2 linked regions of the Tamandua tetradactyla genome follow. Each later gene encodes a partner of the first gene's protein in a complex. Links are inferred from orthologs where the notes say so. Each region holds a gene or a part of one and is shown on either strand. Other genes may lie near its edges.

The links. Proteins that work in one complex are often made in the same cells at the same time.
Region 2: MED19 (region 1) and MED31 share a complex: the UniProt entries of both Homo sapiens proteins name them as parts of the mediator complex. The link is inferred for Tamandua tetradactyla from reciprocal best matches to the Homo sapiens genes MED19 and MED31.

The regions. Positions count from the first base shown.
Region 1 is NC_135335.1:19,872,531-19,880,266, reverse strand, and holds the start of MED19 (mediator of RNA polymerase II transcription subunit 19), read right to left. Parts: upstream 3,057-7,736; 5' UTR 2,841-3,056; coding exon 2,624-2,840; exon of another isoform or gene 2,531-2,623; intron 1-2,530. Other genes in the region: TMX2 (thioredoxin-related transmembrane protein 2), read left to right, coding at 3,231-3,419. UniProt on the Homo sapiens protein: Component of the Mediator complex, a coactivator involved in the regulated transcription of nearly all RNA polymerase II-dependent genes.
Region 2 is NC_135332.1:58,835,547-58,843,242, forward strand, and holds the start of MED31 (mediator of RNA polymerase II transcription subunit 31), read left to right. Parts: upstream 1-4,652; 5' UTR 4,653-5,016; coding exon 5,017-5,044; intron 5,045-5,863; coding exon 5,864-5,941; intron 5,942-6,224; coding exon 6,225-6,321; intron 6,322-7,696. Other genes in the region: C6H17orf100 (uncharacterized protein C17orf100 homolog), read right to left, coding at 4,136-4,504. UniProt on the Homo sapiens protein: Component of the Mediator complex, a coactivator involved in the regulated transcription of nearly all RNA polymerase II-dependent genes.

The DNA of each region.
Region 1 (7,736 bases):
TTGACTAACAAGGTGGTATCTATTTAATGTGTAAGAATAACCTCCAGGATAAGCTCTTGACTCTGTTTGGAATCTCTCAGCCATTGACACTTTATTTTGCCTCATTTCACTCTTCTCCCTTTTGGTCGAGAAGGTTTTTTCAATCCCTTGATGCTGAGTCTCAGCTCATTCTGTCCCACGTTGCCAGGAAGGTCCACACCCCTGGGAGTCATGTCCCACGTAGAGATGGGGAGGGCGGTGAGTTTGTTTGTTGTGTTGGCTGGAGAGAGAGGCCACATTTGAGCAACAGAAGAGGATCTCTTGGGGGTGACTCTTAGGCCTAATTTTAGGTAGGCTTGACCTATCCTTCGTGGGGTTAATTTTCATATGAACAAACCCCAAGATCGGGGGCTCAGCCTATTGCTTTGGTTGTCCCCACTGCTTGTGAGATATCAAGAATTCAACTTGGGGAAGTTGAATTTTCCCCCTTTCTCACCATTCCCCCAAGGGGACTTTGCAAATACTTTTTTATTCACTGTTCAAATCACTTTGGGATTTATCGGGGCATCACTCTGGACAAACCAACAAAATCTCAAGGTTTCTAGACATTTTTAAAAAGCTGTATTCCTCAGTTCAAAAATCTCAGTGGTTTCCTATTACCTTCAGGGAAAAGGTTAAATTTCTTTGGCACTGACGACTAAGTGCATCTTATCCCAATTTATCTTTGAGGCCTTATCACTACTCGCCTATGCAAGATTTTTCAGTCAACAAGATAAGTCTCTATCATCTCCTGAAAAGAAAAACCCACCCCTCATAGTGTTTCCTTTTAGGAAATTTCTTCCCAATTTTCTTCACCAATATGAATTCTTCATGGTCCATCTCAAGTCACATTTTACTGTTGCTCTCACTGTGGATGATAAGGAACACATTTTGAAAACCTTCATGTAGTTCTCAATATCGTTTGCAATGGTATTATTTTTAGTTGCTATATATGTGAAATTTGACCACAAAGTAATGAGATTGGCTTTGACTAGAAATACACTCCCTTACTTTATCCCTAAACCACATATTTCACATCTACAACTAAAAAAATCTCCTTAAAAACAAGGACCAGACATACTACTTTTTCTCCCTTTCCCACCACATGCTGTCATTACCACATACCCAGTAGTTTCCCAGAATAGAAGTTTCGTATCTGTCCACTCATTGATGTATATATAGGTACAGTCAAAATGAGTAAGACAAAGGAAAGATGAAAGAAACTGCTGGAGGCTCACCTCTCTAAGCTTTAGTTTTTCAACTATAAAATGCTGATAACAGTCAAGGGACTGTTCTATATTAAATGTTATAGCATAAAGTACTGCACTGATAATTGTTATTATCATCTCCCTCAACTATAATGTGGTAGTAGGACCTGGGCTGAACAAAAAAGCTTCTCAGACACTTATGTCCAAAAAGACTTTATTTCAAAACCCTCCAACCAGTCTCAGCACTACCATATATCCAGTTATTCAAGCTAAAAACTTAGAAGTCATTATCAATTTCTTACTTAAATCCATCTTTTGTTAGCGCTACCTTTAAAATTTATTCTGCTGCTATTCACTTCTATCCTCTACTGCCCTAGCTCTAGTCTAAACCATCAACTCTTCCCCACTTTCCATTCTTCACATGACTGCTTAAGTGATTTAAAAAGAAATACATTAGATCATGACATTCCCTTGTGTTAAAATCCACAACGGCATCCCCTAGAACTTAAAATCTTACATTATGGTGTAAAGGCCTCTGCCTACCTCTCCCACTTTCACTTCCTACCACTATTCTCCTTGTTCACTTAACTGGGCCCAATTTGTCTTCTGCTAGTCCAAATCTTTCTCACATCAGAGATTTAGCTTTCATACCATGTTTTTAAAATTATCCCCTCTCTCCACACATGCAGGGCTTATCCTTTCTCCATGCTGATTTTCGTTCCAATCTTATCTACTCAGAGAGCACTTCTCTGATCACGCTAGCTAAAGTAGTTCCTCCTGTTCCATTCTTTATCATATTTTCTCCTCCTGGCATTAATCACTAACTATATTATTTCACTTATGTGTCTACCCACTGAAATGTAAACTTCAAAAACGTAAGGATTTTGTCAGTCTTGTTCACAGCTGTAGCCTCAGCATTTAGAAAAGTGCTTGGTACACAGTAGGGTGCTCAACAAAATAAAATTTTGCATTAAAAGAATCTGGTTCAATTCCAAACCCTTCTTCGCACAGCTGAAGAAATGCCGAGGCCCTAGGAAGGAAATCAACTTACCCCAAACCAACAAGATTGTAGCCGACTTGAAACTGAAAACTTAGGTTTCCTGGGATGTTAAATCAGGCCTCTCCAGATACAAACTCAAACCCTGGGCCATTTTTAGGGAAACATAAACTAGTGTCAGGGACACAGGCCGGATGTGGCGTGGAAGATACAACCCCCTTTCCCCATCCCATGAATCCATGCCATCGCTTTGGGGGCTGATCCTCAGAGATCTTTCGGCTTTGAGCTCCACTGTCAGGGTACGCGATTCCTCGGTTACCTGGCACCAGCCAGCTGACAGGCACGCCCACTACGCTCTCTATGATCTGATTGGCTGGTTTCGGCCATGCCTAGCACCCACCTGGCAGTTCCCGCATCAGGTAAAAGGGGCCACAACCAGCCCCTGACTTGTCGGCGCCGGGAGGGGCCGTAGCCGCCGTAGGGGGCGGAACGGTACCGGGTCCCCCTCCCGGAGGGGGCGGAGGCGGGGGTGGAGGCTTTCCGGGTCCGTATCCGAGCGCGGATGGGGGTGGTGGTGGATCAGCCTGAGCTCCGAACAGCGCCGTGAAATTCTCCATGGCCCCAGCGGCGCCTCGGGAAACGCCCTCCGACTCTCGGAGCCGCTTAGCACTGGATGCCTCTGTGCCCGCCTGCCTTCTTCCGGCGACCACTTCCGTCGCTTTCACGGAACGTTCGGGAAGTGCTAGCTAACCTTATTAAATTTTCTGATAGCTCCACTGGTTACAGTTTCAGATCCAGTAAAACGACTTAGGTAGGAAGAGGGATTGCCAGATTGGCCAATAGTGGCTCACATCGCCTTTTATGCGCCATAGAAGCCAATCTGGACCTACTTCCGGGTCAAGGGGCGGCGCATCCGGAACTCGGCCCAATGGAAGTACCAAGGAGAGGGGAGCCGGGACCAAACCTACCACGGCCGGTGAGCGGCGGGCGCCGCAAGGGCCGGGAAGATGGCGGTCCTCGCACCTTTAATTGCTCTGGTGTATTCGGTGCCGCGACTTTCACGATGGCTGGCCCGACCCTACTACCTTCTGTCAGCCCTGCTTTCTGCCGCCTTCCTACTCGTGAGGAAGCTCCCGCCAGTATGCAGCGGCCTCCCTACGCAACGCGAAGATGGTAACCCTTGTGACTTTGACTGGGTGAGCGACCCCCGCCTGGCACCCGCGACCTTGACTTTCCCTACCCCAGCGAGCGCGTCTGGGAGCCCCGGGGTTCATCTTTCTGAGGATACCCGAGGTCCCGAGCCTGTAGCGGACTGAAGGACTTAGAGCGTAGGGCCTTGACTGCCATTGCGTCGCGATCTCTACGTCTTCCAAGGTGGGAAAACAGAGAGGCGTGGTCTTCTCGGGGTCGCGCAGCCGGTCGGTCCCACGTACTGCATAACAGCCCCAGGGTTTTTCCATCTCACCGTGTCTTTCCATCTCATCGTTCACGCTTATCAGTGGTCTTCCTTTCTCCTCGTGTGCAACGCTTTCCCCTTCTCAGAGCTCTTTGCTGCCCACTTTTTAAAAACAACTTAAGGAGCTACCGAGGTCGGTAAGGCAAGTAGTAGTATTTCCGTTTTACTGACGAGGGAATTGACCTCATCGTGGTTAGGCAGCTAGTCCCAAGTCTTACAGCTAGTGAGTGCCTGGAAGTTAAAACCACTCTTTCGCCATAGTACCTACACATTAGGTCACCGCTTAATTCAGTAAACATTTCCAGGATGCAACCTATATATGCCAGGCATACTGGATCCTGAACTGCAAGGATGAATAAAATTGTTAGACCTATTGTAAAGGAATTGTTAAAAAAAATAAAAATAAAAAACAACAACAACAACAAACATCAAAGAGAAATCTATCTCAAGCTCCTGTGGTGCTTCCTGGGTAGGCTTGGAAGTACTGCTCAGAAAAATGAGTTAAAACCTATGTCATGACGTCCAGGGGTGAGTGTCTCCCTGGTGTGGAGGGATCAACAATGCCATCCTGACCAAAAAGGGGAAAAGAAGTGTGACAAATACAGTATCAATAGCTGAGAGAGTTCAAATAAAGTGCAGAGGCTACTCTGGAACTCATTCTTAAACAAACCTCAGTTAGGCATTGCTGCCTGTCATAAATTGCCAAACCTCAACCAAAACTATTACAGCCAATCCTAAAGAACACCTAGGGCAATATATAAGGTTCTACAAAGGTTCCATGTACTAGGGTAGCTTTCCAGAAAACTGCAACCTCCAGATGGATCCCTGGACCAGATAAGTCCTGAAACCTAGAGGGCCCCAGTCTCTCCGGATGTCAGCTACACCCATCTCCCTACCCCATAGTATAGACAGCCCCTTCCAACATGAAAAAGTTACACTGGACGTAGCCCAAATTACCCCTAAAGAGTGGGAGAAAGATCAAAGGTATGGTGGAACTATATAGAGAAGGTAGGGTTTAACAAACAAGTATGATTGTCGAATCATTATGTTGGTATTTCTTTTAGTCTCCAGTATCTTAGAGCAGCTAGAAGTAAAAACTTACAACTGTGAACCCATACCAAACTCTGAAATCTGTTCTACAACTAATGAGGCAATGTGATTTGAAATTTATTGCTTTTTTGCTATGTATTATTTTTCACACACACAGAAAAGGTTAGTTGTGATGGTAAAAAAATATTCCTTCTAGCCTCCAATGTTCTGGAGCAAGTAGTAGGAAAAATCTGAGGTGATGGTATGGTAGCCCATGACAAACTCTGGAATCTATCCTCATTGAAGAGTGCTTTGAAAACTAAAACAAAAACAGAAGCAAACAAAAAAAACCCTATGCCTGCCGGTATATAGTAGCATCTATGTTCTGACGAGGGTGGCTCATCTTGAAATTTTTTTTTTAACTTTTTTTTTGTGTGTGAAATATATGTACAAAAAAAAGCAATATATTTCCAAGTACATTTTTAAAAATATTTTTATTGTACACAGCAAACAAACGTACAAACATTCTTGACATGCAAGCATTCTATATATGGTGTACATTCAGTGGCTCACAGTATCATCCCACAGATGGGTATTTATCACCATGATCACTTTTTTGAACATTTGCATCTCTCTATCTAAGGAAGTATAAAAGAAAAAACTCATACATACCATACCTCTTACTCTTCCCTCTTATTGACCACTAACTAATGTTTCAGTCTACTCAGTTTTATTATAGCCTTTGTTTCCCTTATTTGTTTATTTTTTATCTATATTTTTTACTCATCTGTCCATACCGTTGATAAAAGGAGCATCAGACACAAGGTTTTCACAACCACACAGTCATATTGCAAAAACTATTTCATTATACAATCATCTTCAAGAAACATGGCTACTGGAACACACTCTACAGTTTCAGGTCCTTCCCTCTAGCCATTCTAATATATATAATGCGTAAGAATAACCTCCAGGATAACTTCTCAACTCTGTTTGAAATCTCTCAGCCATTGACACTTTATTTTGTCTATTTCTCTTTTCCCCCCTTTTGGTTGAGAAGGTTTTCTCAATCCCTTGATGCTGAGTCCCAGCTCATCCCAGGATTTCTATCCCACATTGTGAGGGAGGTTTATACCCCTGGGAGTCATGCCCCACTTAGAGTGGGGAGGGCAGTGAATTCACTTGCTATGTTGTCTAGAGAGAGAGAGAGAGAGGCCATATGTGAGCAACAAAATAGGTTCTCTGGGGATGACTTTTAGGCATAATTTTAAGTAGACTTAGCCTATCATTTGCAGGGATAAGTTTCATTGGGGCAGACCTCAAGATTGAGGGCTCAAGCTATTGATTTGGTTGTCCCCACTAACGAGAATATCAGGAATTCTCCAAATGGGGAAGTTGAATTTTTCCCCTTCTCCCCATTCCCTCCAAGGAGACTTTGCAAATAGTTCTTTATTCACTGTCAGATTGCTCTTTCCCAGTACATTTTAACAAGTAGTTATAGAACAGATTTTAAAGTTTGGTATGGGTTACAGTTCCTCCTCTTTAAATAACATATGTACATAAAAGCAATAAATTTCAAAGTACATCATAACAATTAGTTGTAGAACAGATTTCAGAGTTTGGTATGTGATCCAATTCTACAATTTTAGGTTTTGATTTTTAGCTGCTCTAAGCTACTAGAGGCTAAAAGAAATATCAGCATAATGATTCAGCACTCATTTATTAAACTCAGCCTTCTCTGTATTAAGTTTTGTCTTATTTTTCTAGCTCCCTACACTCACATGACTTATGTTTTTCTTCTTTCCTTTTTCAAACAGTATTAGCTCTAATATATCCATGCTATTTCAAAAGATCCTACTTTTAGATGCCCAGATGAATCCCAGAGCGATTCGATCAGTAAGTGGAGAAGTATTTGCAAAGCCCCCTTCAGGGAATGGTGAGAATGGGGAGAAATTCAACTTCTCCAAGTTGAATTCTTGATATTCTCACAAGCAGTATGGACAACCAAAGCTATAGGCTGAGCCCCCAGTCTTGGGGTTTGTTCATATGAAGCTTAACCCTGAAAAGGATAGGTCAAGTCTACTTAAAATTTAGGCCTAAGAGTCACCCCCAAGAGAGCCTCTTTTGTTGCTCAGATGTGGCCTCTCTCTCCAGCCAACACAACAAGCAACTCACCGCCCGACCCCTCTCTACGTGGGACATGACTCCCAGGGGTGTGGACCTTCATGGCAACGTGGGACAGAGATCCTAGGGTGAGCTGAGACTCAGCATCAAGGGATTGAGAAAACCTTCTTGACCAAAAGGGGGAAGAGGGAAATGAGACAAAGTGGCAATGGCTGAGAGATTCCAAACAGAGTTGAGAGGTTATCCTGGAGGTTACTCTTATGCATCAAGTAGATATCATCTTGTTATTCAAGATGTAATGGAGCCGGTGGAGGGAACTGCCTGAAAATGTAGAGCTGTGTTCCAGTAGCCATGTTTCTTGAGGATGATTGAATAATGATACAGCTGTCACAATGTGACTGTGTGATTATGAAAACCTTGTGTCTGATGCTCCTTTTATCTACCTTGTCAACAGAGGAGTAGAACATATGGAATAAAAATAAATAATAGGGCGAACAAATGCTAAGATAAATTTAGTTTGAAATGCTTGTGATCAATGAAAGTGAGGGGTAAGGGGTATAGTAGGTATAATCTTTTTTTTTTCTTTCCTGTGCTCATTTTATTTTTCTATTGTCTTTTTGTTTCTTTTTCTGAATGGATGCCAATGTTCTAAGAAACGAGGAATATGCAACTATGTGATGATATTGAGAATTACTGAATATATATGTAGAACGGAATTATATGTTAATGTTTTTGTTCTTAATTTTTTTTAATTTAAAAAAGATCCTACTTTTTAATTATATTTTATGCCATTTTTATAAAAATGGGACTAAAAGATAAATTTTAGTACGTCAGGACCATTTACATAATTAATTTCTCTCTATACCGTTGCCTAATTTTAAAAAACTGCATAGTTTAATATTCAATT
Region 2 (7,696 bases), on another chromosome or scaffold:
GTGTTTCCATGACACACCATGTAGGAACTCACTCCACGGATGATTTTGGATGACCGGGATCTCATAATCAATGAACAGAGACCCTTTGGCAAACATTTCTCTAACCTTGAGAGAAAATAACAAACAAGATCAAGACGCTGCACTGGAAAGCAAAGATTGGTTCTAAATACCGTAGGATCAGTGATCAGATGCTCTGCTCCTCAGCACTTCAGGACACGCTCTAAGTCCTTTGATCAATGATACGCTAAAGATGAAGAGAACAAGGTTACATGTTAGGGTTCTGACAGAACTACTGATGATCATCTAAATGAAGTGTCACACTTGGAAGAAGGTATGGCAAAAACTATAGATTGGCTTACTCAGCACCAATTCCTAATCACATTCTTTCCCATGGAAGCTAGAAAGCTTGATTTTCCTAGCCTCCCTTGTAGCTAAGGGTAGTCTTATGATCCAGTTCTAGCCAATGAGATTTAAACAGTAAATAAGGCAAAGCCTTGCTAGGAGAAAATCCTTGGCTCCTTCCCTCATCCCTTTTGTCTATTTTGAATGCAGAGGTGAGAACTGGAGATAAACAGAAGTATCTCGTAATCATAAGGTAGTAAATCTTAAGGCAAAAGCTAATGAACTAGGGATGGTAAAACTGAAAAATATGAACAGGTTGGATCCACAAAAGCATTTTGGGATGAGACACTAGCCTAGATGGTCTATCTCAGGCTTCTTATTGTGTGAGACAAATGAATTCCTATTTATTTCAGCCACTTTGGGGCAGGTCTTCTGTTATTTGTAGCCATATGATTCTAACAGACAGATAAGTGCTTACAGAAGCTGTTGGTGCGATAAGCAGAGAGGAAAAAGGTTGTTCATTTAAAGACTGAGGAGGTGATGGTGAAAAGGCCAAGTCAAGTATCCAGGGCCTGGATACCTGTGCTAGCCATGCTGAGGTGGGAAACAGAAATAATAGAGGAACAGGAATCCTAGTAAATTTAGATGAGAACTTCAGTAAAATTCCTTGCTGGTTAGACTCTCGATTCTCCTCATGGCTTGTGTGGCCTGGGGAAAGAGTATTTGATTAATGGTATCTTGCATTTCAAGTATTTTCAACAGCATAGCAAAGACATGCTGAATTTTGCAAGCTGCCCTTAGCTTATAAACAAATGAGTGAATTCTGAGGAGAATGAGGACTGACTCCTTCCTTAGAAGGATTTTTACTTGCATAGTTTTTCAAACTAACCTGGTTGGAAATAACTGAAGGGAAATCACAATTATTATCTTCTGCAATAAATCCGAAGGATTATTAGATCAAGCCATTACAAACTTTCTTGGCTAAGCATGGAGGGAGAGTATTGCTCTTTGCTCTTTATTCTACCCACATGGTGCCACATCACAAATACAACAGCATCCTTGTTTCTGTGGAGCTTCCAAAAGAGGACAATATGAGGAGGAAGACACACAGTATGGGTAACACACACTTAAAATATATAGCAGGTACATTAAAAATCATCACAAAAAAGACATATGCTTCTTCAACTTACAGGATAATTTTAAAGCTGGAGAACTTGCTGTAAAAAACAGCATGTATGGTCAATATACTGTCACATCCTTTTCCTTCCCCATGTCTCACCTTTTTTGATACTTTCTGCCCTGTATGTCATTTTGGATTTCAGCTTTGAAACATGAATAAATGAATTTGGGAGGAAGAGACTTAGAAGAAACACTTATGAAATAAGAATAGCGAAAATAAAGAAGGTATTGGATCCCATATCCTTCCAAGAAAAACAATCATCTAGTAACCAGAATCTGGCTTTTTCACAGCAGCCTTCTTTGCTATGGGGGCTGGGGCTGTCCTGTGCATCGTAGGATGTCTAACTGCATCTCTGACTACTAGATGCACCCCACTCCTTCAGTTATTGACTAACTGTTTCTAGACATGGATAAATGTCTTCTGAGGAACAAAACCACTCACAGTTGAGAGCCACCATCCTATATCCACTCTACACACAGAAGCCAGAAGGCTCTTTTAATAATGTAAATTGCATTATGCCACTGTCCTGCTGAAACCCTTCAATGTCTTCCCAATAACCTTGGAAGAAAATCTATGGCTTCCCTGGCAACGTGGGATATGACTCTCAGGGATGGGCCTAGTCCTGGCACCATGGGATTGACAATGCCTTCCTGACCAAAAGGGGGAAAGATTTGTAACAAATAAGGTATCAGTGGCTGAGATGGTTCAAATAGATTCCAGAGGCTACCCTGGAGGCTATTCTTACACAGGCTTCAGCTAGATATTGCTATTTATCATGGTTCGTTAAACCCCAATCAAACCATTACTGCCAATCCTAAAGAACACTTAGGGCTTTATCTGAGATTCTACAAAGGTTCCATGCAGTACGATTATTTTCCAGAAATCTACAACCTCCAAATAGGTTCCTAGGCCAGAGAAGTCCTAAAACCTAGAGGGCCAGCCTTTCCAAGAACAACTAGTTTCATCCCCCTATCCCATACTGTCAACACTCCTTTCCAATATGAAAAAGTTAGAATACGCATAACCCAAAACCCCTAAAGATTTGGAGAAGATCAGAGGAGGAGGAGGAGTTATAACAGAGACAATAGGATTTAACAAATGAGTATGACTGCTGAATCATTATATTGATATTTCTTTTAGTCTCCAGTGTCTTGTAGTAGCTAGAAGGCAAAACCTAAAATTGTGGAACTATAACCCATATCAAACTCTGAAATCTGTTCTATGACTAATTGGTGCAGCATGCTTTGAAATTTATTGCTTTTTTCTATATGTTATATTTCACAATATAAGAAAAAAAAATCCATGGTTCACAGAACCCTACTTCTCTAAATTCATCAATCTTCCATGCCACCGTTCCCCATGCTTACTAAGCTCCAGATACACATTCTTTTTGTTCTCTAAACATGCCAAGATTGTTTTCACCCAATGTTTTGCACTTGCTGTTCCCTCTGCCATAAGAATGCATTCTCTCCAGTCTCTGTAGGGCTCACTGTTCACCCATACAAATCTCAAATGTTGAGTCCTCTGCAAAGCCTTCCTTGACCATCCAACCTAAAGGACACTCTTACTCTCATTCCGTAGCCCACTACTCATTTATTTCCTTCATGGTGCTAATCAAAACAGAAAACTGTCTTTAATCATAGGTTTGTTGTCTGACTCTTCACCAGCATGTAAACTCCACGAGAAGCTTGTCTGTCTTGTTCAGTGCTACTACCCAAGTGCTTAGTATAATGCCTGGCATGGAAGTACTCAATACATATTCCTCCCTTTCACTTTCCTCGAATCTGGATCAAGTTTCAATGACCTCTCACTTTACCTTCTAAGATCATTCTTGAATTTTTACTGGTGCCTACTTTCATTTTTTTTTAATATGCTGTATGGGGGATCATATTTCATACTTTTTCCTTATGAGTATTCAGTTATTACAGCACCATTTGTTGAAAAAAAGAATTTTTGGGGGGTGGGGGGAGTGCACGGGCTGAGACCTGCATGGTAGGCGAGAATTCTACCACTGAACTATCCTGGCACTCCACCCCTTACCTTCGATTTTTAATACATTTTGACCTATATGGGTATGGTACCATGAACAAGAACTTAGTATAAAAAAATAATTAATCACTTATTCGGAAACATAAACAAAGGCTAATAAAAAAAAGGCTAATCAATTCATTTATGCGAGTCTGTTTCTCATCCTCAGGTTTTTAACAGGCATATAATGCTTCCACTAGTCATGATTTCAGTTCGGTCCCTTGTTCTGTATTTGAAGCTATGAAGGTCATTATCACTGAGTATGAATGTAAAACTCACCTGGCTTGGTAGCTCAAACCGCCTCTTTGTCCATTCAGTCCAATTAATACAGTGTCATAGGTCTGACAACTTCTTGTGCTGGCTTCAAGTTAAAATAGTTCACTGGGTCAAAAGCAGAAAGGTCCACAGTCAATAAATGTTGGCCAAGGCCAGAAACTGCAGTCTGCCTACTGCTGACGTTGATTTATGGGCTGTTTCATGAAAACAAGGATGATTGTTCACTTGGCAACTGAGTAGCTGGAACCCGGAGGCAATTCTGCTATGGCTACGCGCCATGGCCTCTTCATGTGGCCTTTGGTAGGCATTTCATCGCGTCATTTTTACATTCTGGCTGGCTGCCGGCTGGTCCCGCCGGGGAAGACTCTCTCCACGGTGCAGAGACGTCTCCATCCGCATAGACGAGGCCCTGACCTGACGGGAGGACGTTTCCGTGCGCTGTGAAGTGGTTTCCACATGCTGGGAGGCCACCTCCAGGAAGCAAAGAAGCCGTTTCCCAGAGGGGGAAAAGGTGGGTTCCTCGCTGTGACGCTGGCAGGTCTCCACCTGATGGGAAGACGTTCGCACCTGCCGAGAGGATGCCTCCACGCAGTGGGACGATGTCTCCACGTGGACCGTCGACGTCTCCTTGTAGCCGGCGGTCTCCACTCGGGGCTTTCCCCGATGGGGCGAGGCCATTCGAGGGTGTACTGCGGGCCAAGGAGGCCTCGGGAGGCCCCCCAGCCCAGTGAGTTCCCTCAGTTACGTCGGTGTGCTACGTCACAGGGCCCCATGGTAAGGAATGGCGTCATAATGACGTGTTACATCATCGCAGGCACAGTGGTGAAAGGTTACGTTATTGTCACAGGCGAGAATACATGACCCGATGACGCGGGAGCACGACAGTCCTGTGCGGGGCTGAGATTTCCCTTCAAAACCGTGGGCCCTCCCCCTCAGACGCTCCGTCAGGGGAGGCGGGGCGGGCTTCAGCTGGCTGGTGCACCTGCTCCCCGGCCTGGGAGACCTTGCGGGGGCGGGGCCGGGGCGGGGCAGGGATGGGCGGGGCCGCCCGCCTCCGAGCGAGGCTCCGCCCGCCCTGTATCCCACGCTGCCCCGGGACGGGAAGCTGAAGCGGTGACTTCCGGAGTCTGCCCTGCTGTTCTGGCCGGTTGCTTTGTTTGAGTAGTGGCTGTTTAGTGGCTTTGCTTGCAATGGCCGCTGCTGTCGCTATGGAGACTGGTAAGTGGCGCTCTGAGCATCGAGTCTTCGCAAATAGGACACTGTCCCGCTGGGCCTCCTGCCAGGCCTTTCACCCCCGGAAGGATTTAAGTTCTGACCAGAAGGGGCAATGGCCCTTGTAGCATCTAGGAAGGTCAAGGCGATGTTGCTTTTTCAGAGTTTCGTTTGTTCGCAAATCTTTTCTCCTTACTTCTCATCTAAGCAGCGACCCTCCAGCCTTCTAGGCGTGGGCGAAGCTAAGGAAGAGGGCTTATATCTTAGTCTCTTGATTAGTTTTCTAAGTCTCAAGTTTGCATAAGTTTGGAATATCGTCAACACACGTGTATTTTGCTGTTGTTGCTTCTCACATATGCACATGCTCGTGAACTTTCACATTCCGTAGTTTCTTTTTCAGCTTGCATTCTGATTTTTTCTTTATTAATTTAGCTTTTTAATTAGCTGTTTACAATTATTGTTATAGCGTATTATTAAAATAAGAAGAGGCAGGTTTACAACCTACCCTGATGATCCCTGTTATAATCCTTACATAGTGGCTCCTCAGGTGGTAGTTATCCTGCCCCTTGTGCATTGTTTTCTTTGCTAATTTCGCTTTCACTTTGGAAAAATTCCAAACTTAATTAGGGCTGTAGTTTTCTTAGACTTCTAAGGAAGCTATATCTCCTCCATCATCCAGTTTGAGAAAACCATCACACGCCCTTCTTTATACAGAAATGTATCTCAGTATTAGTCAGGTATCTTTACTGCTGTTTTCCCCCCCTACAATTCAGTATTATATATAGTGAGTTTTTTGGGGGTGATTTTTGCTGTCTTCTCTCCTAGATGATGCTGGAAATCGACTTCGTTTTCAGCTGGAGTTGGAATTTGTGCAATGTTTAGCCAACCCAAATTACCTTAATTGTAAGTTGTTGAGCACCTCATTAAATTGAGTAGCTGATATTAATGATTTCTGACAGAAAAGTTGCAATTCATAGATTTATTTTTATACATTCTCAACATAAGTAGGATTACTGATATACTCCTATATTGATACAATTAAGCAAACTGGAACTTGTGTTTTGAATTCAGTGTATGTTGGTGGAGATGTTATGTAAATAGAATTCTTTATGTCAGGGGTCACAAACCAGTGGTCCAAGGATTGGTTTGACCTACATATGTATTTTTTTTTTTTTATGCCTTTCAGTTCTTGCCCAAAGAGGTTACTTCAAAGACAAAGCTTTTGTTAATTATCTTAAGTACTTGCTTTACTGGAAAGAACCAGAGTATGCCAAGTATCTAAAGTAAGTTTAATTTTTATAATCCTAAATAAGTGTGTATATATTTTACTATACTCCAAGACACTGATATTTAACAGACTTCTTCATTTCACATTGGAAAAAACATATTTTGCATTTTCCACTTCTTTTAGTGGCAATCATCTTAATAGAAAACACCCTCATCTCTAAAACTTGGATTGCTTTCCAATTATCCCTGCTTCCATTCTTCCTTCCTTCCACCCCAAATCAAACAAAGCAAAACGTGTTTTCTCCATAGAAGCCAACTTGATTTCTTAAAAATGTAAATTGGAACGTGTTGTTTTCTTGTTTAAAACCTTTCAGTGGCATTCTGTTGCTTGCAGAATAAACTACATTCTCATTTTTTGACTTATGATCTTATGTTATCTGGCCTCATCTTGTCTGACCTTACCTTGGAATACTCACTCCATTTCCCTGGGTTTCTGATCCCACAGAACACACAATCTGTAAATCCAATGATATAGCTATAGGTTGAAAATTAAAGAACACAGGAAGGGGCATTTGTGGGGGTTTCCTGGAAGAGGTAACCTTACCTATTAGGGCCTGCCATATGCCAAGGGCTTTGCTAAGTGCTTCATGTCCATGATCTCATTAATATACGTATATAATACATACACATCTAATTTATTGACCAATCAGGTTGAGCAGCAGACACTTTTGGCATATCATAACCACAAATCTGTTCCCTTTCAATGGTAAAAAATAAATCTTGAATTCACACCTCTGCTTTTTCTCAGCCATGTAACCAAAAAGCAATAGTGAAAGATTTTTCTTTTTTAAATAAATACAAGTTTGAAAGGAAAGTATTTCATACTTACTCCTTATCCCCAAGTCACTTTTCTGATGTGTGCCCAATAACAGCTAATTCATGGAGTGTAAGTCCTCCAACTGCCTTTGGGACTCTGTGTACCTTACTTCCTCTTCATAATCAATTGTTTATTTAATACTCCAAAGAAAATACTTTTTAATTAGATTGCAACATGTTGTATGTCCGTACATCTACAGACTCAGTGTTGGGAGAAGCCTTATACACCATCAAGTACAATCTCACCTGCAACATTACTGAGAAATCATCTGAACTCTGGCGAGTTCCAGTGGTACTTCACAAAGAGGCAGTCAGTTCCTTGTTGGCCAGATACAATTGTTAGAAAGTTCTTCCTTATATTGAGTAAAATATACCTACATGTAGCTTCAACACATTATTCCCAATTTTGTGCCTGGATTATTCCTGGACCCAGTCTATGCCCTCCTGAGACTTGTACTTCAGATATTTAAATTCAGGAGAGGTTGCACATTGACTCCTGTTGAATATTTCATTCAGTCTGCATAAGGTTTTAACCTTTAAAGAATTGTCAGTATT